Linked DNA regions of Lepisosteus oculatus. The protein of the gene in region 4 purifies or fractionates together with the protein of the main gene of each other region. This does not show direct contact. Links are inferred from orthologs where the notes say so. Each region holds a gene or a part of one and is shown on either strand. Other genes may lie near its edges.

Region 1 (7,000 bases), on a different chromosome or scaffold from region 4:
ATGCATAACAGAAGCCTGACCAATGCACATCACTGTATTTATAAATTATAGCCCTGAGAGCTGCTATTAATAGCATGCATCCCTAAGGAAAAAAGCCTGAGATGAGAAAGACGAAATTAGTTTTGATTTATCCCCTCCTGTAGCTACTGAACATCACATTCCCTGGTATGGGCAAATAATTTATCAGAGCTGCAGGATTTCAATATGCAGTGGTGCCGACTTTTCAACTTTGTGTCATTTTGCTTAACCTAGCCCCTCAAGGACATCGATCTGAGATCTGTCACATCATCTTTCTGCTGCAAGAAAGGCAGTAACGATTTCCCGAGTGTGTTTGCCAAGCCTGCTTTCTTTCAGCGCTGAAATGAGCACAAGCACCCAAGAATGTCCCTTTGAGGTAGACTGTGTTTTCAGGGATACTGTATAAAGCAAGCCAGTGGTCTCTGAGAGGTTCAAATTTGTTTGGCCATTGAAAAATATTCAGTGTTTTGTTAGATTTTTTCTTCTTTCTCCTATTTTCTGCATTTTCTCTCTGATTGTGGATGAACATGTTTTTTGTTAAGATCTTGGAAGAGGGCTAGCGGGGCTGTGATTTTGGAATTTCTCAAAATTTCCAGATGCTGCCCAGTCCTGGCTCTCTCTCTCACTCACTCACACTCACTCACACACTCACACACACACTCACTGGAGCAGCTGAGTGTACCATGGATTCTTCTTCCTCACTAGCTCCCTGCTGACACGCTGTCAATGTGCATTACTACACCACTTGTCCACGCTTCCTTCTGGTCCTCCAGGGTGTCCCTTAGTCCTTTAATTCGGCCATCAGAAACTGTCAGGGCACAGTCATTCCCAAGCAGCAACTCTGGTCCAGCCATGACCTCATCTGTCCTCTCCACTGACCCTTACTCTAACCCCACCCTAACCTCTCTAATGCAAGCTCTAGCCCGAATCATGCCAACTTTAATCTAAACACTATTCCTCATCCCAAGGCTAAACCTGGCTCCTGATTCCCTGTGTCTTCCCTGTATCTGTGTTCCCTGGAAGGGATTGATCAGCTACTCTACACTCCCCCCCAGGGTTTGAATCTGTTCCCCCCTTTGCTGGCCATCCCACATGCTCTGTCGTCTCCTGGTCAACGTACTGTATGCAAGAAGAGGAAGAACATGAACCCACCTGCTCACCTTAATTCTAATCCTCCTAACCCCTTCCCTGCTTTTAACAACCTTAACCCTACCTCAAGATACTCACCCTTAAATGTAATCCTCCTCACCCTAACCTTAACCCAGCTACTCACCCTTAATTCTATCCTCCTCACCCTCACCTTAAACCAGCTACTCACCTTAATTCTATCCTCCTCACCCTCACCTTAAACCAGCTACTCACCTTAATTCTATCCTCCTCACCCTCACCCTAAACCAGCTACTCACCCTTAATTTTAATCCTCCTAATCCTCACTTTAACCCAGTTAGTTACCCTTAATTCTAATCCTCCTAACCCTCTACCTGCCTTTAACACCAGGCTTACCCCAAGGCTAATGTGATGACTGCTCCTCTCCCTGCTCCCGCTGTCAATCCAGTGCTCCTAGTGAGCACAGCTCCCCTCCCTGGGCCGCAGCTAACTCCACTGCTGGAGCCTTACACTGGCTAGACGTCAGAGGGGGTGACGTCACTTCTGTCCCTGGCTCAAGCACGAGCCCTGCCCTACTTTTAACCCACCCATCACCCTAGTGCCTCCAGAATCTGGCAGTCCTGGTCCCGGAGGACCTAACAGCTGGGAGAAGCCGTGAAATTAGTCTAGTTAAGAGCCGATTAAGGCCCTTAAAGGCTGAGTTGGAATAAAAACCCACTGGGATTACCCAGTCCTGTCATAACCAGAACCCTAGCTCTGACACCCAGCCACCTGTAATCCTGTAATCTCTAGAAGAGTCGGACAGGAATGGATCTGGACTGCAACTGGACCAAGATGTGGAACACTGGCATCATGTCAGCTTCAACAAACCTGCACTAAGTCACTGCCTACCAAATAAATTTGCACAATATGTTTCAGCAGGGGGCCCCATATAGTGGGATAAGCACAGTACAGTACTGTACTATGTTTTCCTGTAGTACTGACTTGTGTCTGTTGCTTGCTAGGATAGGCTCTGGATACCTTGCTACCCTGAATTAGAAGAATAAATAATAAATAATAACTCCTTACACTTATACTGCACTTTTCTGGACACTCCACTTAAAGCTCTTCACAGGTAATAGGGACTACCCTCCATCACCTCTATGTATAGCCCCCACCTGGATGATGCAACGGCAGCCAAAGAGCACCAGTACGCTCACCACACATCAGGGCGGTTAAAAAATTGATGGAAGGGCTGTATTTCCATGCTTAAGGTTAAATAGCAGGTCTGAGAAACTCAGACAGTAAAAACACACAAGAGGATTTGGAAAATTACTCACACGTTGCCTTATTACGTATGTAAACAGAAATGAGAAATGTATTTAGTAATTAGCAATTGTTTCTAGAAATAACCACAATATATATGTTTGAAAGATTTAGCTACATTATCTTATATTTTTATTGCCATAGCTATGGATTCATTTAAAACGTAAAAAAAAATCGTTTTAATGTTTCACCTCTCGTGTATCACATCCTCAACATCAAGAGTGATCATTTAAAGGCCTTACAAAAACATGTACATTGTAATGAGCTGTCTGACAGGCCACTAAGAGTAAAAAACGAAGAGCTTTAAATAGATAAATGCGTGAAACGTGGTAGTATTCTGTAGTGAAAGAAGTCCGGAACTAGCCGGGCATTTTACACAGTCAGTTCCGGAGAGCTGACAGGTGACCAGGTGACCACGCCGCACCCAGCCGCTTCAAACACAAAAGAGAAACAGCCCGCTTCATAGCTGGCCTCTACGGAAGCGCAGTGCTGCTATTAAGAAGAAAATATCTCATGTGATATCTCGTAATTACGAGAAAATACAAATGATCATTAGAGCTGTATGAACAATCTATTACATTGTGCAATTACAACACCTAGAAGCTACTGAGAGCTAAGATGGAAATTTGGGTTTAGTGACACGGACTGACTTTCGAGGGGGGGCGGATAATTCACAATGTGAACACAATCATAAGAACCCTGAGGACACTCACACTTATCCTACATACCAGAAAGAAGGTACCGGGAAATCGACTTCACTGCTGAAAACTGAAAGTAAACTCAGTCAAATGATCATGTTGGCATTATGACAATTATTGGTACTGTAACGCAACGGGGGCTCAGGCGGGCACCCTTGCCGCATCTGGTCGGCCCCATCCCGACTGGAGGCTCGAACCCGGGACTTCCGCGTCTCTCTGCGACGTAGCCCCGTGAGCTAAAGAGAGATCTCTCTACAGCCCAGTAGCTGTAGTCCTGCTATCACAGTGAAGGGCGGTGACATCACCTGCTTTGGTATGCCGGCTCTTACACAGTGCCTGTCGGCCGTAAGCGTTACAGTACTATATGTGTTATCGCGTGATTATCACATAAAATACGCGATACTATAGTATATCGTAATAACAGAAAATTTACTCCTAATTACGAGATAGCAGGTGACATTTTTTCCTTGATGGCAGCAATGCGCTTCCGTATGAAAGTGACTGCTCTAGTTTTTAATATACATTTTCAATCACATTCATTTTGTGTATCATGTTTTCCCTTCACGCACTACTTTTAGATAAGACTTGCGTTTCAGCCGTACAGTATGTCCTCCTGATTAGACAACTGGGACCTTTGGATACTTTAAAAATCCCCGCCCTCAAGTCTTTTACGTCATGTCTGCTACTGCAGCAAATTTAGCTCACTGCTTCAGACAAGAGCTCTCAGATCAAGATCCCGTTTCGGGAACTTGGCATCTCTCAGGTGTAAATCCGTGCAGAGATGAGAGCAGTAGCACCGCGCACACCCACCGAATGCGAGATGTCACTCTTGACCAGCAGAGGTCGCTCTGGCTCAGCTATCTATTGTCACTCTCTCTCTCACGCACACTCTTATTGGAAAAAGCGATGTGTGCACTGAGCTGCACCGCTCAAACCCTCCCAGATCGTCAACAAAATAACCGGGTTACAAAGGAGAGAGAAAGGAAATACTGTTTCGCCCGCAGTGCTGCCTTTAAACCAAGATACGAGTTCGCGTCGTGCACGAAACACAGCATCGATAGAGCTGCAAGCACCCAGGTCCTGTTTTGGGGTTGATTTAGTTACACTTCAGGATTAAAAAACGCTCCGGACTCGAGAGAGAGAGGGGAGAGAAGTGTTGGAGAGAAAGAAACGGATATTGTCTTTGGGGAATCAAACGCCAGGTAAGAGAAAACCTTCTTTATTTTGATGTTGGAGTCTAGAAGATGCCTGAAAGCCGTAATGAAATGTACTGCGACGGCACAAGTGAATTTCCGCACGAAAGAGTTAAGAGAGGGAGACATGGCAGTCAATTAAAAATATACTCTTTCCCCGCTGAGCCGGCTCCGAAACCCGAGTTTAATTTAAAGAGATATAGGGGCACAGACCGAGCACCTGCAGTCGAAAAATGGAGTAGGATCGATCATATAAATAAAAAGAGCCGCTTTCGCTGCCAATTATAAAGTGTGTGTGTGCGGCACTGTTTAGGTCCCTATGCAAACCTGTGCATAAAAAACCCCGGTGATGTCGTCATGGTTCTGCAAGAAAGGCGCTGTTCCTTGTCGCCTACCTGCCGTAGGCGAGCTGCCGTTGTGAAGGAGCTGCGCCTCGCCCCGGCGTCTCCACGCCTCACACCCGCTGTTTTCTGAGTCCAGCACGGTTCATTTGTTGCACACGTTTATGTTGGTTGTTCACGGTTATTGTCGTTGTAATGTTGTCAACAAAGGGGGGCAAACGGTCCGTGGTGTGAAAAGGATGAGAAATCAAGGATAGCAGAGCAGGTGCTTCAATGGAGTCGCCACGGTCCATGTCCCCGCTGTCACGGTGCTCCCTGTGCGGGTAGCCTCTCAGTCTCGGGGCCCGGAGATGAACCGTGACGGTAACCCGGGAGCTGCTGAAGGCTACTCTCCTCCGGCCATCTTCGCCACAGTTTTTGCTTTTTCTGACAACACTGCCATATCCCTCTGAGGTATTTCCTTTCCAGATACTGTCATTAATACTTGTAGTGCCCTTGCTCGCACTTTTTGTGCTGGATGAGTGGAGTTTGTGAACAAAAAAACGCTTAGCTTACTCTGTTTTTTTTGTATCTCGCATCAAAACAAAGCCGAATGACATACAGTATTCCCTCACCCCAAAGCGTGTTAACTGTGAAAATATCAAGATGTAGCTCGAATATATTGGTGCCAACTCTTCTGAGCCATCTACAAAACAGAAACGAAGCTTCTTTGTTGCGATTCCAGCGGTAAATTGTAGCTGTTTAAACTGAATCATATGATCCTCTGTACCAGTACAGTAAAGTTGCTTATTCAAGGAAAATAGCCCAGGATGCAGCGTACAGTAATGATTAACGCAAAGCAGATTTACCGTGTGGGATTCCTTAATAGTTCGCAAAAAGGAAGATTTAAAAGCAGGATTTGTGAGGATCTGACAAAACAATGAACCAGATGTATGTCTGGATTAAATGAAGTCAGGTTTAAGGATTTACAAATGTATAGGGGTCGGCTGAATTCCTCGGTTTGTTTTGCCTGACCCGATGAAGGACAGTTTCACATCATGGGCTAGCTTTGTCTGCCGTGGAGAGAGTGCCTGGCTGTTGGCTGATTACTGTGGTTGCTAAGAGGCCTGTGCTATATTAAGACAACATTCAACGTTTGCAGCAGACCGGTTAAGAGTCTCCCTGAATGAAGTGTGGTGGTACAGTACGTTTAGTATAGTAGTAGTAACCCATCCAGTCAGCTACTGCATGGACATTTTTGCCTCAGCGCACAATGAGGAGAACAGGAGCTCACCTGTTGCAGTGCAGGTGTTACAGTGCCAGAAGTTGGAATTATGAATCACTTCATAATGAGTCACTTCTTCCCAGCACCTCTCCACCTCTGTCTGGGCCTGACAGCCCCGTTTCCCCCCACAAACTCCAGCGCAGCACTTCTTCCCCAGGCGGCGCAGCATAGTCTGTGCTCCTCCTGGATTCCTTGTGGCACGTGTACGCTTTCGAAAGGTTGCGCCGATCGCAGGACCCTCCCAGATGACAGTTTAGATCTCTTGCTCTCTGCCTCACCCCCTGCTGCTGCGGGGAAGGACTGAGATGAACTGGCCTGCGATCAAGGGCCTGGCATTCCAGACAGTTAAATAGCCAGGCCTCTAGACTTCTGGAAGATGGAGTATCCCAGATACAGATCCTGACTTTGAGCAAGGTAGTGTTGATGTCCTGCTTGCCCTGCGCGATCCGTGCCTCCAGTATAAGAAAGCCACTCGCCTCTGGACAGGGTCATGGCAGCCCTGGAGCCTCTCTCAGGAGCGCAGGTTACCAGAATGGACGCCAGACCTCCCTAGAGTGCACACGCACAGGGGGACAACAGTCTCCAACTAACCTGGTCAGCATGTCTTGTTGGAAAGTGTGTGGTGGCTGAGGCTCCTGGAGAATCTGAGGGCGCTGCAGTTGCGGATCAATCCCCGAACCAAGGCGCTGCATCACCCACACCACTGTGTCCTTGCCTGCTTCCTTCTGCTTTGCTTTTAATTAGTACGAGAGGTGAAAGGGTTAATTCCTCAAACACACTATCCCCTCCACTTATCACCCTGTCCTCTTCAGCCTGTGAGGCTGTAATCCATTGCTTGTTATGGACTACAGCAATCAGCCTTGTAGTAATAATAGTACAATTTAGCTTCCACTTTTTATAAGAGATTACAGTATATGCTTATCTTGCCTACAATAACTATAATTAGCCTAATCTTACGTGTACCAGCTGTGGTATCGATTTAAGGCATTAAAACAGTGTTAATTTCTTGCGGTTGAGAATCAACCCTCATTACGATCTGTGAGTTTGAGTGTAAAGCAGTAAAAAACAAGGTTG
Region 2 (7,126 bases), on a different chromosome or scaffold from region 4:
CACCCTGGGATTTTTAATGACCACAGAGAGTCAGGACCTCAGATTAATGTCTCATCTGATGGACAGCACCATTTTTTTACAGTATAGTGTCCCCGTCCCTATGCTGGGGCATCAGGACCCGCACAGATTGCAGGGTGAGCGCCCCCTACTGGCCCCACTAACACCTCTTCCAGCAGCAGCCTCAGCTTTCCCAGGAGTCTCCCATCCAGGTACTGACCAGGCTCACACTGCTGAGCTCCAGTGGGGCTGCCAGCGCTGAGTCACAGAGTGATCCAGCTGCTGGCTGAGAACTTGTGTCGCTGCCTGAGTTCCTTTGTCAGCAGCTTCCTGCCGGCCCGATACCAGTGCCTGCGTGCTTCCATATGGTAAAGACCGAATGTCTATTCCCCACCAGGTAACGGATTCCTTCACGTCAACCAATCACAGAGCTCTCTACCAAGAAGGAACGAGCTGGATGAGCTCAGTGCAAACTATTCTGCTCTGGCTGCTGCCCATGAGAAGTTAGTGGAAGAAAAAGAGGAGTTAAAGAGAGAAAACGAGAGACTCCTGTCCCTGAACACAGATATCAGTAAGCACTTTCACATGCAATGTTACTGGAAAACAGGCATGATGGGGACTTTTTTATTCTGACACACAAAACGAATCATCTCTGCTTTGTTCTGCACAGTCTGCTCTCCCCAGTAGCTGAGCATGCCTGATAGCACAGCTCATTCGTGCTCACGAAGTTACCTACTGTATCTTACTGAAAGCATTTCCAGTGTAATGAAGGGGGGGTTGGTTGTTCAGTCCTGTGACGGGTCAGCCCCTGCGAGGGGCAGAATAACTCTTTTGTTCCATCCCGCTGCAAAATCCATTTAGCATCGCATTGATCTCCAGCACCTGGGTCGCTAAAGCAATTAAGCACCCATTGAATTCATTTTGTCAGAAAGGTTATAAAGTCAGGACAGCGTGTTGGCCCAGTGGTAGGCATTGCTGCCTTGCGTGGGTGCTCCAGAGACGTACTGGTAAGTTAATGAGCTGCTGGAAGAGCATCCCTGGTGTGAGTCTGTGTGTGCCCTGCAATACACTGGCGTCCCTCCCACAGTGTATCCTGCCTTGTGCACGTTCCCTGCCGGGATAGGCTCTGGCTGCCATGTGACCATGAAATGGATACAGGAGCTTAGAAAAGTGATCTGAAGGAGATTCAAAGTCCTGGCAGGGCATTTAGACACGTTTGTCTAACCACTGGGACAAACGGAGGGCTGGGATGTCCCCATACACTCAAGAGACATGGGATTGAAGTACACTGTGTTGGTCAGGGAACTGGACTGAGAGGAATCTGCTGTCACTCTCTGCGTTCTCCCTGTACAGAGAGGCTCTGCAAACTGTGTCCTCAGGACTGGGAGTTTTTCCAGTCCAAGTGTTACCACTTCTCGACTGGCAGGCTGAGCTGGAGGGACAGTCAGGCTGACTGCAGGAGCCAGGGGGCTGACCTGGTGGTCATAGACAGCAGACTGGAGCAGGTAAGTGACTATGAAGGGGAAGGGGGGCGAACGCAATTGGGGAACCATAGCGTGTTGACAAGAGATGTTTGGGAAGAAAGCTAGGGCCTGATCTTGCTTATTTCCTCCCAGCCATCTCCCTCTCTCCCTGGGACCTCCCTTCACTTATCTCTCTCACACCCTTGTGGCAGCTCCTCAGCTCATTCCTTGCACTAGTAACAGGGCGGGAGGGATCAGCCTCATCCTAGTAGCTAGGCTGCCTTTCCCTCAGCTAGGAGAGTAGGACCCACATGGACTGCAGGGTGAGAGCGCCCCCTACTGGTCCCACTAACACCTCTTCCAGCAGCAGCCTCAGCTCTCCCAGGAGTCTCCCATCCAGGTACTGACCAGGCTCCCACCTGCTGAGCTCCAGAGGGGCTGCCAGGGTGATGTGGATGTTGGCAAGTTCACAAACAAAGGGAACTAACCTACGTCTCCCCACCAGACTTGACCATAGCACATCGATTGTATTTGGGTGGGGGGTTTCTAGTAGCGCTCCCTTTGCTATCACGTTAATAACCAGCATCACGGATGAGTAACTCTGTGTCTCCCGCTCAGCTCTTTATATCGAGACAGAGCAAGGGAGGCAGTTACTGGATCGGACTGAGCGATGCCGCCTCCGAGGGCACCTGGCTGTGGGTGAACGGGGCCAGAGAAACCGGAGGGTGAGTTCGGCGGAAACGCCACCGGCCCCTGACTGTCTGGGCAGAACCGGGAAGAAACACACGCGATGGCCGCGGAGAGACGTTAAATGGAGAGATTCTGCTGTTATTTTATATTTTGTTAGACCTGATTCGGCGAAAGGGTGTGTTTTTCCTATTAATCTGGTCATTATTTTGGCGAAATCCACAGAAGTAAATGGTCCGATACCGCTCCTGTCCATTCGTGCTTTTAAGGTCGAATTGCTTTTATATTTAAAGAATCAAAAGATAAGACGTGCAATGGAAACATGTTAAAAGCTTTATTTTCAGCTTTTGTCACTGAGAATTCCCCTGGCTGTGAAGGGCGTCTATTTCTGTATCGGTTTGACTATGTTGTCTCCCTTTTCGTATTTTTGATGTTTCAATGAGAAACTGTTCAGTTCCAGCTCAGTCCTGGAACAGCAGCATCGCGCTTCACTGCTCTCTCCTGCCAAGAACAAACAAAAAGGCCGGAATGAGAACTAAACGTGAACTGGAACTTGACAGGTACTGGATGCCGAGGCAGCCGGACAATCACCGGGGCAGAGAGAACTGCGCCGTGATCGCCTCCCGAGCCGCGGGAGCCGTGAGGAACTGGAATGACGAAGAGTGCGGCCGGACCCTGTCCTGGATCTGCGAAGCCGAGAGTCCCCTCCTCTCCGCTTAAGACGCTTGGCGGCTCCGAGCAAAAAAAAAACACCCGTGCTGCTCTTCCGGAGCCGAGCGCCTCGCCATCAGTCCACGGAGAGCCCGAAGAACCCACAGGGCAGTTTTGGCTTGCGTGACGGCGGTGTGAACAAGTCGTAACTGCGCTTCACGGGCCGATCCGCTCGCTTCGCACTTCACGCAGGACGCAAGCAGCTACAGAGGAGGACGGCAAGGTGATCCAAGGATCACGTAGCTCCAAAACATTCAGTTCAACTCGGCTGCAATTAAGAAAGCAAAAAAAAAAAACAACAACCCGTAGAGATGGGGAATTCTGACCTTGGACGTTATGTGGATTTGGCTATTGAAATTGATTTTTTTTTAATCTAAATGTGCTTTGGTGTTCGCTTCGTGCTCAGCAGCTGAGCTTTTTTTTGTACTTTTGCCTTTTGTACAAGCGTACGGAGCCCGGGAGGGGCCATCGGTGTGTGTGTGATGGGGAGTTATATCGAGGGAACGATTTACGATTCGTGCGCACGAAATAACGTTTTCTCTTTCTTCCGTTTTCGCACGCACATAGAAAGTTTAAAACGCCCGCATTGTCCCCTTCTCCTGACGACAACGCTTTCAAACGCTAGTTAACATGTTTTTATATCGGTACAATAAAGCATATCTGACACTGCTGTAGATAAGGATAATGGATAGAGATGAACTGATTAAGTTTTATTTTGGTTTGGGGATGAGTTATTAGGGCACTGTAGCTACTGTACTCTTCAACTATCGGGACTGCACCTCTCTTTCACTGCTAGTGCCACGTCAGTGCTTGCGAGGGGGTTAGGAAACGTTATTTCGTGCGCACGAATTAAAGAAAACGGGGGCACGATGTAGGTATTTCGTGGGCGCGAATTTTAAGTCGTTCCCTCGATATAACTTTGTTTTCTTACTGATGGTCCGGCCTCCGAACCAGCGCGTCCTCCTGACTCTGCAAACCCCCTCCTGCTGTCGCGCTCCCTCAGATAAATGAACCACTGAGACCTGTCACTACTGCAAGAATCACATTTTGTTCTGAAACTCCAGAGCGAATAGCGTATCGAGTTTTGTAGGCGGTGCAATAAAAACCAATGTGTGCTCCTGTGGATATCCGCTTCAAAATGTTTAGAATAAAAAGTTACTATTCTGCACTTGACAGAACATGTTCTGTGCCTTCGAGCTTGTAGTATTCTGGTAGCCATGGTTACCCTCGGTTCCATGCATTCCAGTGGCTATGACGACCATGGATTTGCGGAAGGTGCGGTGTAGTGCTGTACGGCAGAAAAGCCAAACTACAACTCCCATCAGTCTTTTAGGCACGCTGGGCTTTTGCTGAGGGCTCATGGGTATTGTAGTTTTTTTTGACCGTGCCATTTGGTTAGCATTAAGAGGTCCTGGCAGACTGCGTGTTCACACACGAATCGCCCCGACATCATCGTTACTACACTTCTACAAACATCCCTGCCGACACTAGGGGAGAGAGTTCAGTTAGTTCGCTAGTGCTCTCTCCACTCGCGATACCTCCCCCCGTGGCTGTTACACGACCCCGGAACCACGCAGAACCACAAACCAGGTGCGCTTGAGGGGCAACCAGCCATTTTCTCCCTTTCTATCTCTTTCTCACCAGCTCTGCAGGGCTCCACTTCACCGTTATACTAACGGCTCACAAACCTAGTTAATATGTAACTCGACGAGTACAGTTTATTGTAAAGATTTAACCAGCGCTAAGCTAATAATCCATTCCCCTTTCCGTTGACATTACAAGGCTACCCAAGTGAATCATTAACTGACGCCGTGTGCCCCCAAGTGTGCAGAAGCCAGCGCTTCGTTCGCCAAAGTGCGCATGCTCTGCCCTCAAGCATACGTCAGCGTGCTCGCGTATAGGATAGCCGTCGGTGTCGAGTGACCCAGCAGCGCTGTCCGGAGGAGAGGGAGCTGAAATGGTAAAGGCACATCATTCATTTATCTCTGTGGTGCAGCCGTTCCTGAAATAAAACCGAATGGGTGTCGCTGCTGTACCTTTCTGTCTTTATTTTGAGCTCTGTAGCTTTCAGTTCCAGTGTATCGTATGTCAATAGCAAGCATATCAGTAGTTCTGATGTGCTCTCTTCTTACCTGTTCAGTCTGCGTTGAGTGCACGTAGCCTACTCTTATTGCGTTAGAGACATACAGTATACACACAACAACGTGACCTGAACTTTTTAAACTTGCCCATTGCTTGAAATACGGCAAGTCGCCTTAGACACGCATAACAAATTCGTCCCCATTTTTTACATGACAAGGTGTATTTGCAAAACAGCCGCTGGGGTGCCCCCAGAGAAGCTTTGCAACTTCCCCGTGTGTGTCGCTGATGACTTTTTGAGCGGCCGTGTAGTAAAACGGAAAAGGATTGGACAGGAGGTTTTGAACGGTTCAATGGGGTGTCAGTTTGTATCAAGGTTTCGATTGGGAGTATGGGAAATGTAGTCTTTCTTCAGCCGGACTGTGTATACGTCAAAGTCCCTTCTTTGAGAGTTTGAAAAGGTATTAATCAGCATGGTGCCGAGCTACCAGAGACACAGAGAATAGCTTCTTCTTTGGTAAATCGCAAGAAAAGGTTACAGATTACTTTTAAATAATGCAAATTATTAAAAGAGTTGTTATTGGTTTATCAGCATTGCTTCAGATTATGAAACGTTGCTGTTTATCTCTAATACATTAAATTACGCTCAAGATGTAAGGGGATTTTTCGCAGAAAAATGTAAATCGGAAAACAAAGACCCAAATCTCTTTTATGGTACTGAAAGATCTCACCTTTGCTGTTTCACATTTCAAGGGTTATTATCGTCTGGGGGAAGTTTGTTTTACGTCATGGTCCAGTACAATAATATAACAAGGAAGACAAAGATTAGATAGATAGATAATACTTTATTAATCCCGTAGGGAAATTGATGTGTTACAGCAGTCCAGCCCAAGACAAGCAAAACAGACATCAGAATAGTTATAAAACAAAAGACAAACAAAATAAATAAAAATAAATACATAGGTGTGTGCAAAATGTAATCAGAGAAGACAGGACAGTAGTGCCCAAGGAGTTCATTTACATTGTTTGGGACAGATATTGCAGAGGGGATGAAAGATTTCCTAAATCTGTGACTTTTAGAGTTGGGGACACAGAGGTACTGTATCTCCCCAATGGTAGTAGTGTAAATTCACAGTGAAGCGGGCGAGACACACTCTCCATAATGCCCTTGGTCTCCTTTAGCCATGAAACCAAAGCAAAATTTAGCACTATATCTTTTATTATCTCCCTTATTTGCTGTATCACAACACGTTGCCCGTTGGGGATAATAAGGACTCTCTCTCACATGCTGTTCTACATATTTGGTGAGTTGAACTTTTACTGAATACTGTGTAAATTATATTACAAAAGGAAAATAAACAGCTCGATTAAAGCTATACCCGAGTGAGATGTTGAAATGTTTGCATGCAGAAGTTTATTTGTCCGCTTTGCGAGTCTGATTAGAGCTCCGATCGTGTGACAAGTGTTATATTGTTACTCAGCAGAGAAATCAAATCGTTTCATTTCAATAGAAACGGATTGAATGGCGGGTGGCAGTCTGTGTGGAGTTTGCATGTTCGACCAATGTTCGCATGGGTTTCCTCCCACATGCTGGGCTGCTGCCCCCTACTGGACATGGGGCTGTACTTCCACGAGTTAGCAGACGCATGTAAACAATAATTATATACATTACCTCTTGTAGAATAAATGCTTTTATCTGGCACTTAAAAAAGCTTAAGAAGGTCTTATTGCAGAGTATGTTTTCTGTTGTTCTATATTTTTTACTGGCGTCTGTCTGACAACGATATTTCTAGCTTTGTAGCTGGGTTAAATATAGAGCCATGCGTGCTTTTGGAAACTACAGAGTTCTGCTCCGTGTGTGGTGCCAGTGTGGTGTCAGGAATATAAAAGTGTCTGTTTTATTTAAATTAGCAGATTTTCTAAATTGATTACTTGTTGTTGACATCAGTTTGATTATTTGTGATTTAACACAATACACATGCACAAGAACTAAGTGACATAAACAAAATAAGTAAAGTCCTTACACTTATGTAGTGCCTTTCTGGACACTCCACTCAAAGCGCTTTACAGGTAGTGGGGATCCCCTCCACCCCCAAGCAGTGCGCAGCCCCACCTGGATGATGCGACGGCAGCCATAGTGCGACAGAACGCTCCCCACACACCAGCTCTCAGTGGGGAGGAGAGCAAAG
Region 3 (6,881 bases), on a different chromosome or scaffold from region 4:
AGTTTTTCATTGTGAAATGTTTTTACAAAAGAAGATTGTAAAAAGGGTACAAACGAAAGGAGGGCATCCATATTGCTTGTTTGGTTGGTAGTACTTAATTATTGTATCTCATCCAGCTGTTTCTTGAAAGAAGCCTCGACAAGGTGGCTGGATAGCTTGGTAAATAAACCTCATGGCTCCTCAACAGAAGCTGTTTCTCACTTGGACTGATACATTAAAATTACTCAAAACAGAAACAATAAGCCCTCCCATCTCCCTTATTCACAAAAATAATACACAACATTAAAATATGTGAATTTCTAGCTGTTTGAAGTACTTCTTGCTTTTAATGTGAACATTTTTATTAGTGGACAACAGCCTGTTTTGAAAAATCTGAATTTAAGTCACTGCAATTTCATGTCATCCTACAACAACAACAAAATTTGAGTGTGAAAAACTCCAATGCAGGCTTCACTTAGGATACAAAACATAATAACGTAAGTAACGTAAGTAAGAGATACTGCAGCAGTCGGTGTCTGAGCCTAGGAATGATCAGTGCCCATTACATAATTCACAGGTGCCGCAAATGAATTGTCCTGTCCTGTCAAGATGCGTCGAAATGTTCTTTGTAAAAAGAAAAAAGACTTGCAATGCCCTCTGCTGGTCATCCTTATGAACTTTAAATTTGAACATGTTGCTCCGTCGTTTTCATTATTCAGAAATGACTAAATGGAAACAACAGTTCTAAAGATTATAAGTGATGGTCTACAATAATAACAAGTCTTATTGCGCTCTTAAAAGTGAAATCTACCTTTTGCTAGTTTAACGAGAACTCTCTACGTCCCCATTTAATGAGGCTTGATTTGAGCTATGAGTTTGTTTCTTTAAAAAATCAGGGAAACTGGAGAATTCCAAGTACATCTTATATTGGTAGATTGTTTGATACAAAATTACACTATTTTTTATGATTACCAGCTATACTATTGATTTAATGACGTCCCATAGGATTGTAACTTATTGTACCCTAATACCCGGTTTCCTAGAGACGTCACTTGGTTCTCTGAATGTGCTTGAATGTACCACTGGGCAAAAGCTTAAACAGACACAGTGGAGATTTTGAAGAGTACATCTCGTAAGGCATAAAGGCAAATGAATTGGCAAAAATGTGTTTGCATGCCCTTATACAACTCATCTGGGGTGTTGGAAATAGAAGGAGGTTATCAAATGTACAGACATAACATAAATAAAAATTTAAAAAATTGCCATACACAGCAAAAATGCAATAGTGCATGCTTTTAATATCACATCTGAATACAGCCGTCAAAAGTTCGCTTTAATAATGCCTTGAAGATTTACAGACTTAAGAAATGGTCTACTGAAAATAAATTAAATCTTTAGATACATGTCATAGCAAAATCCTGGTATCTAGCTGAATAAAAGACAAGTAACACATTCTGTATCATTGCTTAGCCCCACTTCTTTCCCCTTGGTGTTTTTCTTAATTTGATACTTAATGGTTTAATAATTATTAATTGCTAAGTAAAAGAGCTCTGAAGGCATTTAGGGAATTATACAGTATATGCATGCATATTAATCTTTACCGAAAGTTAAGCAGCACAAACTCTGCATTCTACGATTTAATGTTAGATACTGAATTGTTTTTCTCTTTAAAGTAATTATATTAAACATCGAAATAGTTGAATCTAAGGAAACCAGAAGACAACTGAATAGGAAACATCAGTAAAATAATTTTGATATTCCAGCTGAAGAATAAAACATGAGGAGAGTGATATTACACTGGCAGTTGAATTAAGTCAGATTTTCTGCATAGATAACTCAATACATTTAGAATGGGATTGCATTAATAATAAGAAAATCTCACTGAATACTGTATATCAAGAAGTTTAACCCTTGATCTTAAGTTAATTTTGTGAATGGCATATAATGATCTACATCAACAAAGTTACAAAACTCTATGCTTTCTTGTAGATAGTCCTTAATTCTAAACCAACCCCGATTTGGGGAGAACTGCTGTCTTCTGTTTTTTGCTCTAGCCACGTTCTTTATTACCTGCATGTTATTTACAAATTAATTTATTTCGGTCTTCCTTTTGAGACATATTTTAAAATGCACTTTCGTGTCTTAAAAGATTGCATGTGATTTGTAATTTATATCAACCCTATATAATTTGCCCTCAATCAAGAGTATTTCCTAAATTCTAATCAATTTGGAAGAGAAAATACAGTAGCTCATTGTGGGAGTGTCAGATACTGTGTTCTTCCCAGGTGTTTGTTGGCTGCAAACTGATCACATACTGTATTAAAGCCAGAAATAAGGGTCAGAAAGTTAAGGAAAGATTGCTTAATCTGTGAATTCCCCGTGATCGGGGTTGGGAAGCACTGGTTAAAATTCATGAGGTGCCTGCAGAAAAAGTGTCTTAACATTAGAATGAGAAATGACTCAATGTGTCCACCAAGTAACAGTTTTCTTTGCACCTTTGTGGCACATCCTGGGAACCTGTGTGAGGACAGTGGGACATGGAGCTTCTCTATGAGTATCTTAACAGTACAGAACCTGGCAAACTTGCAGTGGAATGTTCTTGTGCTATTAAGATAGACATATGGGAGCAAAACAGGTACAGTACTGTTTCTCTTCATGTGCCTGAGTTATATCTTTGCAGAAAAACAATCTTTAGGTAAAGTAATATATTCAATTGAAAACATCACATCATTATTACTACCATCACCTACAGTAAACACACAACCTCAGTGGCTGTCTTGAGTGATTAAAAAACGACCTACTGTAAATAACATGCAGGTGCAGTCAGAACACAGATTTCAATATTTTTCATATAAATATATATAAATATTAGAGCTGCTACAAACCTCTAATTAATATGGTATTTATTAATTGCTCATTAAATCAAAGTACAGTAAAGTCTATTTCACTGCAACAACTGACCTATTTGTGAACTGCAGCTTTAAATACATTTAAAAAGTACACAATAATTCGGTTGGCTTTCTTATGGCGATCATCAATAATTTTAAAGTTACTGAGCTAATAGCTGTGTTATAAATAAGTATTTGATGTTATTTAGTGTCTCATCTAGCTTATATTCCAAGTAAAATAGAAAAAATATTTTGGTATTCCCAAAAACACACTAATACTACAGTGCCTGGCGACTTTTCAGGCAGAAATCTTAGTCGTTTTAAAAACGTTAATGATATACATTGTAATCCAATGTAACAGAGGAAAGATTTTGCAATTCAAAATATATTGAAGGGAAAAGATCCCTTTATTGGTTTTATTCTGAAATCATTTGATATTCTCATATCTCTAACCCAGAAAATATAGGTTGTCGAGTGGGATAAAAAAAAAACATGAACCAAAACTTGATTCTAGCAATATATCTATCTTTATCGCCTGTTTAGGGTTTCTGTGTGAATGCATGTAAATCTACACTTAAATTCCAGATAGGTACATGTAATACTGATGGTTTACATAATTGTTTCAGTATGATTCAGTTTCCTGTGTTTATGACTAGTTGTTTGGAAAAAAAATATAGGTGTTTGAAGTTCATATTTTTTACTTAAGTTATTGTTATCCCTCATAACGATATCATGATAAAACGTTATCCTGATGCTTTCATTCTGTTATAGCTAACCAATGTAATTTATCAATCACAGCAGTCAATTTTATATTGTAAGATAACAACAATAATGTAATCACAAACACAAATTGAACACCATAAAGAAAGTAAAAATAACGCGTAATTCATTAGTTTTAATGGCGCTTATTTTAAAAGAGTGGATTTTGACATGCGAAAGTTTTTATAGTGACGCTTTCACCACATGACAAAAACTTATTTTCTCATCCTGCCTACTGCTGCTCTCCCTGCTACTGGTGGAAAATGGCGGCTCGGTGTGGCTTTCGGCACAAATAGTAAAAGGCAAGGGGTAAAAATCATCATCTGAGAAACTTAAACAAGAAAGTTGTTCTAACAACTAAAAAAGTTTCTGTAGTTTGAGAAAATGTCTCGCTGGGTTCCTACGAAAAAGGAAAAATACGGCGTGGGTAAGTAAGAGCGAAACTTCCATTTAATCCACAGCAGTATCCGATTGCACAAGTTTGGGGGAAGAATAGTGATTATGGAGCCTATATATTTTAGCTGTGTCGAATCCCGAGTTTTCCCAATATCCTCGCAGAGGCCTGACAATTGTGTGGTATCTGATGAGCTGTTCCTCAATAGTTCCAATGCAAGTCTCAGTTATATCGAATTCTTGTCAGAGATAACAGGTTCTGTGGTTGGATTTACATGGTTATGGGTGCATGCAAAGCAGTGCTGTCTCTTTCTTTGTAAATAAATTAGGGATTGGGAATTGTCAGAGGCGCGCCTAGTTGCAACACTGTATCCTGCTCTGGGCCTTACTAGAAAATAGTCTGTTTAGATTTTCCCGAAGCTTTTAAATCATTTCTCAATGTAATGTCGGAAAAAGGTATACACCAAGAGTTTAGATCGTTTAATTATTAATACACTGTTATTTGCTTTCGTCCATTGAAAAGCTCAAAAGCTCCAGTATAGATTACTACGTTTCTGCGTGATCGTTTTCAGTTTACTATACTGTATGTACCGAGAAAAAAACAATAGTATTTAGATAAAAACAGTAACATAGCCAATTAAAACATTACCATCCTCTTAATTTAATTCATGCTTTCTGTCAGTTTTTTGCTACTACTGAGTTGCCCTGTGTAGTGTTGCTAGTGTTAGCACGTTTGAAAAGTTTCGTTGTATTGTTTCCTATAGACCCAATATTGTTTTTGTTTAGCAGACGCCCTTATGCAGAGCGGGTAATAAAATACACAACACATTATATTGTATCATTACAATATACATTGATTCAAATGCAGTAGAAATAAAAAAAAACTATTTTTAAAAGTGCCAATTTTATTTTTTAATATGAATCTTGTGAATCAAATACCCAAGGAACTTCGGCAGTGGAAAACAAAATGCGTAATCCAATTTTGTCCTGGGTTAACCCTGGCATATTAAATAGGATGTATATACAGCACAGAAATAAGTATTAATAAGGAAAGAAACAGACATCTTTTCTTTAAGCTTTGTAGTCTAACAGAGCTACTGGACAGTGGGTTTGATGTTTACAGATTTAAAGGTTAATTCCGCGCTGGATTTTTGCTCTGTCATTTGTTACAAAAGCCGAAACTATCGTAGATTGATTTTTAAGCGCTGTACTCGTGAATTGATTTGGCTGCAAGCCTACAAGGATGGCTACCTAATCCCGTTCCCTTTGATGCACCAGCATCTAATATACGATACTGCAATACTGCTGTCTTCGACTTTATATATGTGTGTGTATAGACTTTTGAAAGGGAACTGATTTAAAGTGATCTCACCCCTGCGGCACAGTGTTATAGTTTTTTTTAGGAACAAGAAAGCAAACAAGATCTGACATTGAGATGGAATCACTGACGAAAATAAACAATTCCCTCTTCACTTCCTCTAAATGAAGCAGCTATAAAAGTAGTTCATACCTTAAACATTTTACCAGAATTGCTTATTTGATTTTTTTGCATCTGTACTGTTCTTTTTGCTTACATTACATAATCCAGAAAAAATAAAATAGGTGGATAAAAGTGCTCTTAACAATCTGTCGCCAGGAATTACATTAGCATGCTTTTTTTTCCTTGGATAAAATTTTATATGACGGTGCTGTTTGCTTTTGGGAAGTAGTTTTAGAAGCTTTTTGTGGTGAAAGTCATTATGCATAGAAAATGAGAGGAACAATTTGGCCCTTGAAGCCCATTTGGTAGTTAGTAGTTTATTGATCCAAGGATCTCATCCAGCCATTTCTTGATGGAAGCCAGGGCATCAGCTTCACAATTATCAAGTAATACTTGTGCATCTCGGCCTCATCTCCTGAGATGTCAAAAGCTACACAGAGCCCCATTATGGTGGTGATAGGAAACACTGTAGTGTAAGAGGTGCTGTCCTTTAAATGAGATGTTAAACTGGAATGCTGGCTGTTTGGTAATTAAAGATACCATGGGGCTTTTTGAAAGAGTAAAGGTGTTAACCAGGGTATCCAGGCTAAATTCTACGCTGGGCTTTAATGACCTGGCCTCTCTAATTAAGTTCCCCTTTAATTGAATTGGTGAAGCAAATGGTCACTTCTCTACCTGCTGGCACATAATGGCTGCTGGGTGCTGCACTTCAGTAATAGATGAAGTGGGTCCCCTCTTTTTGTATATGTGTAAAGTGCTTTCATATCTTATGGAATCTCGGAGTATTGCAATATGTTGCAATCTCGGAATATTGGAATGAGAAGTGCCATATAAGTGCAATTAACTACTATTAAGTTTTCTTCACATTGTTTTGAAAAAGTTGTATTTTAACTATAAACTGTGTAAAAAAGGAACATGAAAACAATTAAAAGTACAGATTTAACAAAGTGAAACTTATCTCTCTGTAGATTAGTGAGTAGTCATTGTGGTTAGATGTGCTTTCTTTGTTTTTGTGACTGAGTTATAGAACATTTGAGATATGGTCGGATATGAGTCTATGTCTATAAATTGACACAATTATTAATGTTAATAAAAATGATTTTACAGACACCACAGTGTTCCCTCTATGTAGGGAAACACGCGTATTTACCAGAATCGCTTGTGTTTTAAAGAATTGGCGAAGCATTCTTTTTTTAAGGTGTCTATTTATGTTGTTGTAGGTCATTCAGTAACACATGCTGCCTGCATCTGTCTTTGTAGGCTATGGCAGAGACACTCATCACCAGCATGTCCCCCTTCATCTGGGGACTAAATAGAAAATCGCCTTTCTTTTTGCTAAGCAGATGCTGATTGATTTTTAATTTGTCATTATTGGATTTCTA
Region 4 (6,949 bases):
TAATGGTCAATTTAACAGGAGAAAAGCCGAAGAGATGGTCTAAAGAACAGTGAATTAGCATAACCCAAATCTGCCCTTACTTGCTGCAGAGTACTGTACTTTACTATGCTTTGCGCAGCACGTTAACGCAAATGAAACAGCAAACGCTATGTGAGGTGATGGACTTTCAAACACAAAAATCTGATTAGCGCTCCTTCCGGTATGAATAAAATCGACGATTACCTTCAGGACATCTCCACGTTTAAAACTTAATTCGTCGTCGGCAGTGGCTTTAAAATCGTATTTGGCAACGGCCTCCATTCTCCGGGGTTCTGCTGGGACACCTGTGAGCTTTTATAGTTTCGTACAGGTACAGTCTGTCGATGCAGCAGGGTGGAGATTTTACTCCCTTATTCTGCTGGCAAGTGAGATAAAAAAAAGCAAGAAAAATAACAGAATCCGTGGACCACTCGCTTCGAGTCTCTCTCCTCCCGGCTACGACCCGTTTCTCCGGGGTTAGCTCCTCACATAAAGGTCGCTGTCACGTATCTGCAAAGGCAAAGATACATCAGTGAGCCTCCCCAGGCTACGTAATTTAAATAGTATCAGTAAAGCACAAAAATATAATAATAAGGGACTAATTTAAAAGTGTTTGATCGAGCCGCGCCCTGGAGATCCGACTTGCAATGAAAGGCAAACGCTCAGCAAAAGAGGAAGGAAACCATCTGGCTGACATGCGAGTTAGCCAACCGCAACCCCACTGCGTCCCGACAGCCAATCAGGATGGGGCAAGCTTATAACGTCCAATTAGAGCCGACGTAATCGCTCTCCACCAATGGGACGCCCCAGTCCTCCGGCTCGTCCAATCAGCCGCCAGGAATGTTGACAGCGCCAATCACACATCAGCCCAGCTTCCGCGGAGTGACCAATCCGGCCTCCGCATAGGCCACAGGCCGCTTCCATATTTATCAATCATGCACTGCATTGATCTCTCCGTCTGCTACATGGCACAAAGTAACACTTTAAAGCTACAAGCGCCACACATGGGATCAGTCGCGTTTTGCCGTTAACGTCAATGCTCCCCGTTATGACTTAAAAACACACACCGAGAAACAGGGAAAAAAAACAGTCGTTAAAATGTAGGATGGAAACATAATTCGTCAGCTCTTACAAGAATGCAAGAAAAAGTAACCCTTTGTGTACAGGAACTGTGCGTTTGCTTCCGAATTATAATAATAATAATAATAATAATAATAATTGCTTACACTTATATAGCGCTTTTCTGGACACTCCACTCAAAGCGCTTTACAGGTAATGGAGATTCCCTCCACCACCACCGATAATAAATTCTTAAAATGTCAGAAACCCTGAACCGCAGACGTCTCGCAGAATACGGAAAGCATCATCTTAAGAAAACTTTCGTGGAAGTCTCGATCCACCTTCCTTCGCGACGTCAGTATTTTGATCATGTGCGCAATTTAATTCTCGTATAGCATTTTACTTTTTTTATTGCTGATCGATCTAGACAATAAAGCTTAATTTTTTTCTTCGTAGAATTAGAAAACCTAGCCAATGTCGCAGACAAGGTATTAATATTTCCACAACTCAATATCCAACCCCACCATCGCCAGTTTTCTTAAAACTTCACGCTCGAGACCTGACCCGATCTTATTTACAACCGTTTACAACTTCCAAAGAATATTATTTAACACGACTACCGTTTTATCGCGAACAACAAACTTCGTAATCCCTTTCGTAACTTCGTCAACCGAGTTACACCCATAAACGTTTGTTGCCTACCCCACTCATGACATTTATCAATTGAAATTCGAAATCAAAGTGTCGATTAACTTGGACAAAACTATCGATAACGCCAGGAAAGATCGATCCAGCGATACCCCCGAAACATCCCGACTAGACATAAATAAGAAATCTGCCTACATTCACATTTTTGAAAACAACAGCAACGATAAATAAATGTTGGTTGAAAGAAAAACCAATGAAGGCATCCGTTCTGAACCACTGCGCTACCGAATAGCATCGCTCGTCCAGAATAAATACTCGTGAGTTTAAGTTTAAAAGGGTCTTACGCGCTGAATGACCCGAGCACAGCCCCCTCCGTCCCGACAGGGAAGTCTCCCAGCCGGATTTGTTCTAGATGGTTCCTCGATGGGAGTTAATAAACAGCTGTGCCCTGCGCCGTAGCTCGCAGACTCGACAGCCAACACCAACCACTCAAGTCAAAGATCACTTCTAGCTAATGGCCCTCAAAACCCCAACAACAACAACTACTACTACTACTACTACAACCGGAGCCCTGGCGTTAGATGGCACCGGCCTGATTTGGGATTTCGTGATTAAGAGGGGTGGAAAACAAACAAACACCAACTTCGCCGTGCACTGGCACCGTGAGGGGACATCTGGGCGCCTGTGCACCGGGGCGACCGCGCTGACATCGGGGCGAAGTGTCGCACTCGCTGGGCGAAACGCTCGGGTTTTTTTAAAAAAAAATATATATATAACCTCTCCGTCGGTACGACGAAGGGAAGCGCTGACGAGCCGAGAGCTGCTCCGCACGCCGTCTGTCAGGAGCGTCTCTCCCCCCACCCCGACTTATCTATTTATTTTCTTTAAAAAAAAAACTTCCACTTTCTAGGGGGCTCCTTGTTTTCGGTTTCCTCCCTCGGACGCTGACTGTGTCCCAGGCCCCAGGAGCGGAAAAAAAAAAACTGAAGACAACACTTCGCGTCTTTCCTGTTTCAAAAAACACCAGGCCAAAATAACAGGAGACGAGAGAGAGAAAAAAAAAACAGTAACTCACCCCCACTTCAACTTTAACCGGGTGAATCCAGCTCAAACACACAGCTTGACCGTTCTCGGGGTTGGGAAATACACACTTTGTTACACAGGAATAGTAACTTGTAACCCTTTCTCTGAATCCCCCCCCCCTTTCTTCTTCTTTTTTTTGTACCCGTTAAAAAAAAAAATCCCGATATTTATTTCCGTTTCCTTCCAGATGCGGTCCTGCTCGCTGCCTGCCTCACGGCTCGAGCCGGATCTCGCGATACCTGCCCGCGGCGTGCGGGACTGGGGCGGGGCTTGGCGGGGGGTGAGGGGGAGGAGCCTCGGACCCCTTGCTGGGGGCTCTGCGGGGTGGGCGTCAGATTAGCATAGCCGCCAGGCCGGTGGGCATGCTCGCTTCCGAAGCTGCCTTGGTCACTATGATCAAAACCCTCTTCTTCAGAAAAGCCTTTACTGAACTGGTTCCATTCCTCACCCCTCTGCTCTTCTTAGCGCCACCTTCCACCGTCTCCTTCCACTATTGTTCGATAGATAGATAATACTTTATTAATCCCGTAGGGAAATGGATGTGTGACAGCAGTCCAGCCCAAGACAAGCAAAACAGACATCAGAATAGTTATAAAACAAAATAAATAAATACATAGGTGTGTGCAAAACGTGCCGATCATAGTCGCTGTAAAAACAATAAAATATGTGTATACACACTGATTGCCAAAAAAGTACAATGGAGTAAACATGCTGTCCATAGAGGAGCAAATGCATATTACGATATTACAATAATACAATCTCGCCTGTCTTTTCATCTTCGTATCCCTATTAAAGGTGTTCCCCTCATTGTCGTGACTCATTGCGGAAGTGCGAATTCCAGCTCTCCCGCGCTCCTTGTCATTGCTGTCAGAGCAATACTTCAGCCGAGTAGACTTTTATAGATACTCGGGTGGAAATGCTAACTTGTTTCCACCCCGAGTCCTTATTTGCTATCCGTATTGATTTAACTGGGCAATTTGACGCCTTTCCTTCTTCATGAGATGGAGGGTTAAAGAGACCTATCAGACCCGGAGCTCGGTCTTAATTGCTGGTTTCAATTGTTTACTCACCTGCACAGCCGTAGCGTTTTTAACCCATTTCCGAGGTGTTTATAGATGAGTTTATTTTTAATGAAGTGAATGCGTGTGGGCAGTCGGCTGTACAAGGCATTAAGAAAAAAAACTAGGTATGTGTAAGAAAAATAGGTAATAATAATTCCTTACACTTATAGAGTGCTTTTCTGGACTCTCCGCTCAAAGCGCTTTACAGGTAATGCGTGGAGTGATGGAGCCAGTTCATAGATGGGGATTATTAGGAGATCATGATCACTCCTGTCAAGAAGCGCTCGGTTTTCCATTTCATACAAACGACGGCGCCTTTTTTTTACAAGTTGTTACAAGTTGCAAGGTCACTATACTGGGGCATTAGCCCCACACAGAGCGCAGGGTGAGCGCCCCCTATTGGCCCCACTAACACCCCTTCCAGCAGCACCCTTCGTTTTTCCCAGGAGGTCTCCCATCCAGGTACTGACCCGGCACCTGTTGAGCTTCAGGCGGCTGCCAGTTGCGAGTTGACAGTGTGGCAGTGTGACACGGCTGCTGGCCGAGTAGACAACAGCGGGGTCAACTCATTGACTGCTCGAGTTGGGGGAGAAAGCATAACACACCATGGCTAACCTGGAATCCAGCTTGTGACCTCTGATCTAGGATGGCTCAGATCCCTTAGCTACTGTCACGCACAGCACACAGATGTGCCGAGTGGTCTCCCCTCGTTCTCATGATATGTGCTTGCGGTGGGGCTGCCCTTGCCCAGATCTCTTCCTAAAATCCTATACTCTTAAATAAGTCATGATTTCCCTTTAATTACCATGCACTATGATTAATTTATAGGCTACAGTGAGCCTGTCTTGTACAAATTCTGAATACGCTCCCCGCCTGCGATTATACAACAACTTCTTTCGCGAACGGAGAAACAGCCGGTGAGCGCCAAGCCTGTGAAGAAACTGGGATTTTATTCCCTGACCTCTGGCGCCACCTTGTGGGCAAGGACACACAGGACAGGACTCGCTGCTTCCAGGTGGTGCTGGAAAAACTCGCCGCCGGTCCTGCTGATGCGGCGACCGCATTTAGTGCTGAGAATCTGACACCTTCGGATAAGCAGAAAGCAGGAGTTTGAAAATTTCTAGAACGTGTTTGATTCTGATCATAAATAGTTAGACTGAGGAACGTGAACAGTCTGGCACCAATTAGTTGCTATCACTTCAGATTAGGGCTTGGAAATTCTATGAACACATTTTATATCTTAAAAGTAGATTTAACAGGGTTGCTATTAACCTTAACGGAATGTTTAAGTACATAATAAACCATCTTTATATTTAAATGTTTATCAATGTAATTTTGACGGTTCATTTACTGTTTTTTTTTTCTATATCTAAAGCATTATTTGCAACCTTAAGCTTTACATTTCTTGTTCAAGTGCCTCGCTATATTCAAGATAAGACTTCATTAATCATAATTACGGGAAAGTGAGGCGTTACAGCAGCCCAGCCCAAGAAAAGCAAGACAGACATCAGAGCAGACTAGAATTGAGACACAGCCGTGGCATTCTTGGACGTGAACTGGGGTGTCACAGGGAGAGAGGCGCTAGACGGAGTCGGGACGTGAAGAGAGCGGTCACGTTCGCTACACGTCAGAGGCTGACGAGTTTGAAATACCTGACGAACAGAAGCAAAACATCGGTAGTTCGGAGCATCTCAGTGCGGATTGAGATCTGCGTGCGCACAACAGATCGAACAGTAGGTGAGGAGGCTTAAAGAGCAGAAATATTCATCTTTCTTTCCTACTGACGTGAAATTAATACGAGCGATAGGAGCGATTCTAGCAAATCATATGTAAGAGCATCTAATTGAAAATAAGCAATTGGCACGAAGGGTTAAAATATTGACACTGACTCAATTTTATAGCTCTTCTAAGTCTTTCAATACAGTAAAAAATCAGCTGAATTTTCACACTTTTATATGATTTTCCATCAAAGTATCTTCGCATTTTGAAGTAGCTGATTTTTATTTGACAACATTGGTTTGACGCGTTGTTATTGTGTCTAGATCACAGTTCTGAGACTGATGGGTTTTGAAAGAAACACACCTTTCGTTCTTGAAAACATGACCTACGTAAACTCATCACTCGTCTCCAAAAATTATTCTTCCAGTAACCAGACAGGTAAGAGCGCTCCAATTTACTTGGAACAAAGTATTATTTCATTTCTTCTAACTACTGACAAGGTCTCCACCGAGAGAAGGTCGTTTATATAAGCAGTGTTTAACGTATTGGTGAGCAGACGAATGAACTGGCTTAATTCGACAAGCAATTTTGGCGATGTGGTGAAATATTTTAGCAAAGCGTGAAAGAGGAAAAAAGACGAATTTGTCCTGTTACAGTAATGTGGTTTCACGATTTACAAAGTTATTAGAATCCAGTTCTACGAAACGAATGCGTTTCGTACACTTTGAAATCGCAGGAACGTGTGAAGAAGCTGCATTTAGCAAATCTCCCCGAGCCGATTCCCTTGTGAATTGAGCACCGGGAGTCCTGAACTGCATCGATGTCTCTGACTCGACCTAGCAACCCGGGAGACACGGGGGCTCTTTCACTGAACGACCGCCTTTTGTCTTTACAACTGGTTTTATCTACCCGGTTTTGTATGGGTGGACTGGTCCTTCTAGAATCAGCCCGGTGTTTACATTTTTAATGCCGCAGGTGGTGTATCTCGTGACTTGTTTTGTTGATGTCCTAAAGAATGCAGTCTGAAAAAAACAACAACACCTAAAGTGGGAATCTGAACGGCCGAGCCACAAAATGCAACGATTTGAGCGATGTGGAAAATGTTACAGTTCTGCAAGTGTTCTGTAACTCCAAGGTCCTGCCGTGAAGTGCTTAGCGCGTCGTTAACCCCCGTTATTCCCTGTCTCCCTCCCAGCTGCGGAAAGGGGCCATGCGCCCTATACCGATGTGATCATGCCCAGCATTTTCGGGGTCATCTGTTTCTCGGGGATCATCGGGAACTGCATCGTGATCTACACCATCGTGAAGAAGACCAAGTTCCGAGCCAAGCAAACGGTGCCAGACATCTTCATCTTCAACCT

The links.
Region 1: the proteins of grb2a (region 4) and pik3c2b purify together in Homo sapiens (affinity purification with mass spectrometry; 5 studies listed by BioGRID and IntAct, counting the BioPlex papers as one, with this or other methods). This does not show direct contact. The link is inferred for Lepisosteus oculatus from reciprocal best matches to the Homo sapiens genes GRB2 and PIK3C2B.
Region 2: the proteins of grb2a (region 4) and ptpn6 purify together in Homo sapiens (affinity purification with western blotting; 4 studies listed by BioGRID and IntAct, with this or other methods). This does not show direct contact. The link is inferred for Lepisosteus oculatus from reciprocal best matches to the Homo sapiens genes GRB2 and PTPN6.
Region 3: the proteins of grb2a (region 4) and dock1 purify together in Homo sapiens (affinity purification with mass spectrometry; 5 studies listed by BioGRID and IntAct, counting the BioPlex papers as one, with this or other methods). This does not show direct contact. The link is inferred for Lepisosteus oculatus from reciprocal best matches to the Homo sapiens genes GRB2 and DOCK1.

Annotation. Positions count from the first base shown.
Region 1 is NC_090700.1:38,878,618-38,885,617, reverse strand, and holds the start of pik3c2b (phosphatidylinositol 4-phosphate 3-kinase C2 domain-containing subunit beta), read left to right. Parts: upstream 1-3,976; 5' UTR 3,977-4,330; intron 4,331-4,716; exon of another isoform or gene 4,717-5,498; intron 5,499-7,000. UniProt on the Homo sapiens protein: Phosphorylates PtdIns and PtdIns4P with a preference for PtdIns. Does not phosphorylate PtdIns(4,5)P2. May be involved in EGF and PDGF signaling cascades.
Region 2 is NC_090718.1:2,758,166-2,765,291, forward strand, and holds the start of ptpn6 (tyrosine-protein phosphatase non-receptor type 6), read left to right. Parts: upstream 1-4,112; 5' UTR 4,113-4,818; intron 4,819-7,126. Other genes in the region: CD209 antigen-like protein C, read left to right, coding at 395-568, 1,351-1,502, 2,079-2,185, 2,708-2,867. UniProt on the Homo sapiens protein: Tyrosine phosphatase enzyme that plays important roles in controlling immune signaling pathways and fundamental physiological processes such as hematopoiesis.
Region 3 is NC_090699.1:26,645,398-26,652,278, reverse strand, and holds the start of dock1 (dedicator of cytokinesis protein 1), read left to right. Parts: upstream 1-3,869; 5' UTR 3,870-4,010; coding exon 4,011-4,053; intron 4,054-6,881. UniProt on the Homo sapiens protein: Involved in cytoskeletal rearrangements required for phagocytosis of apoptotic cells and cell motility. Along with DOCK1, mediates CRK/CRKL regulation of epithelial and endothelial cell spreading and migration on type IV collagen.
Region 4 is NC_090704.1:44,337,945-44,344,893, reverse strand, and holds the start of grb2a (growth factor receptor-bound protein 2a), read right to left. Parts: upstream 3,024-6,949; 5' UTR 2,801-3,023; intron 2,564-2,800; exon of another isoform or gene 2,503-2,563; intron 701-2,502; exon of another isoform or gene 529-700; 5' UTR 301-528; coding exon 223-300; intron 1-222. Other genes in the region: mchr1a (melanin-concentrating hormone receptor 1), read left to right, coding at 5,930-6,026, 6,784-6,949. UniProt on the Homo sapiens protein: Non-enzymatic adapter protein that plays a pivotal role in precisely regulated signaling cascades from cell surface receptors to cellular responses, including signaling transduction and gene expression.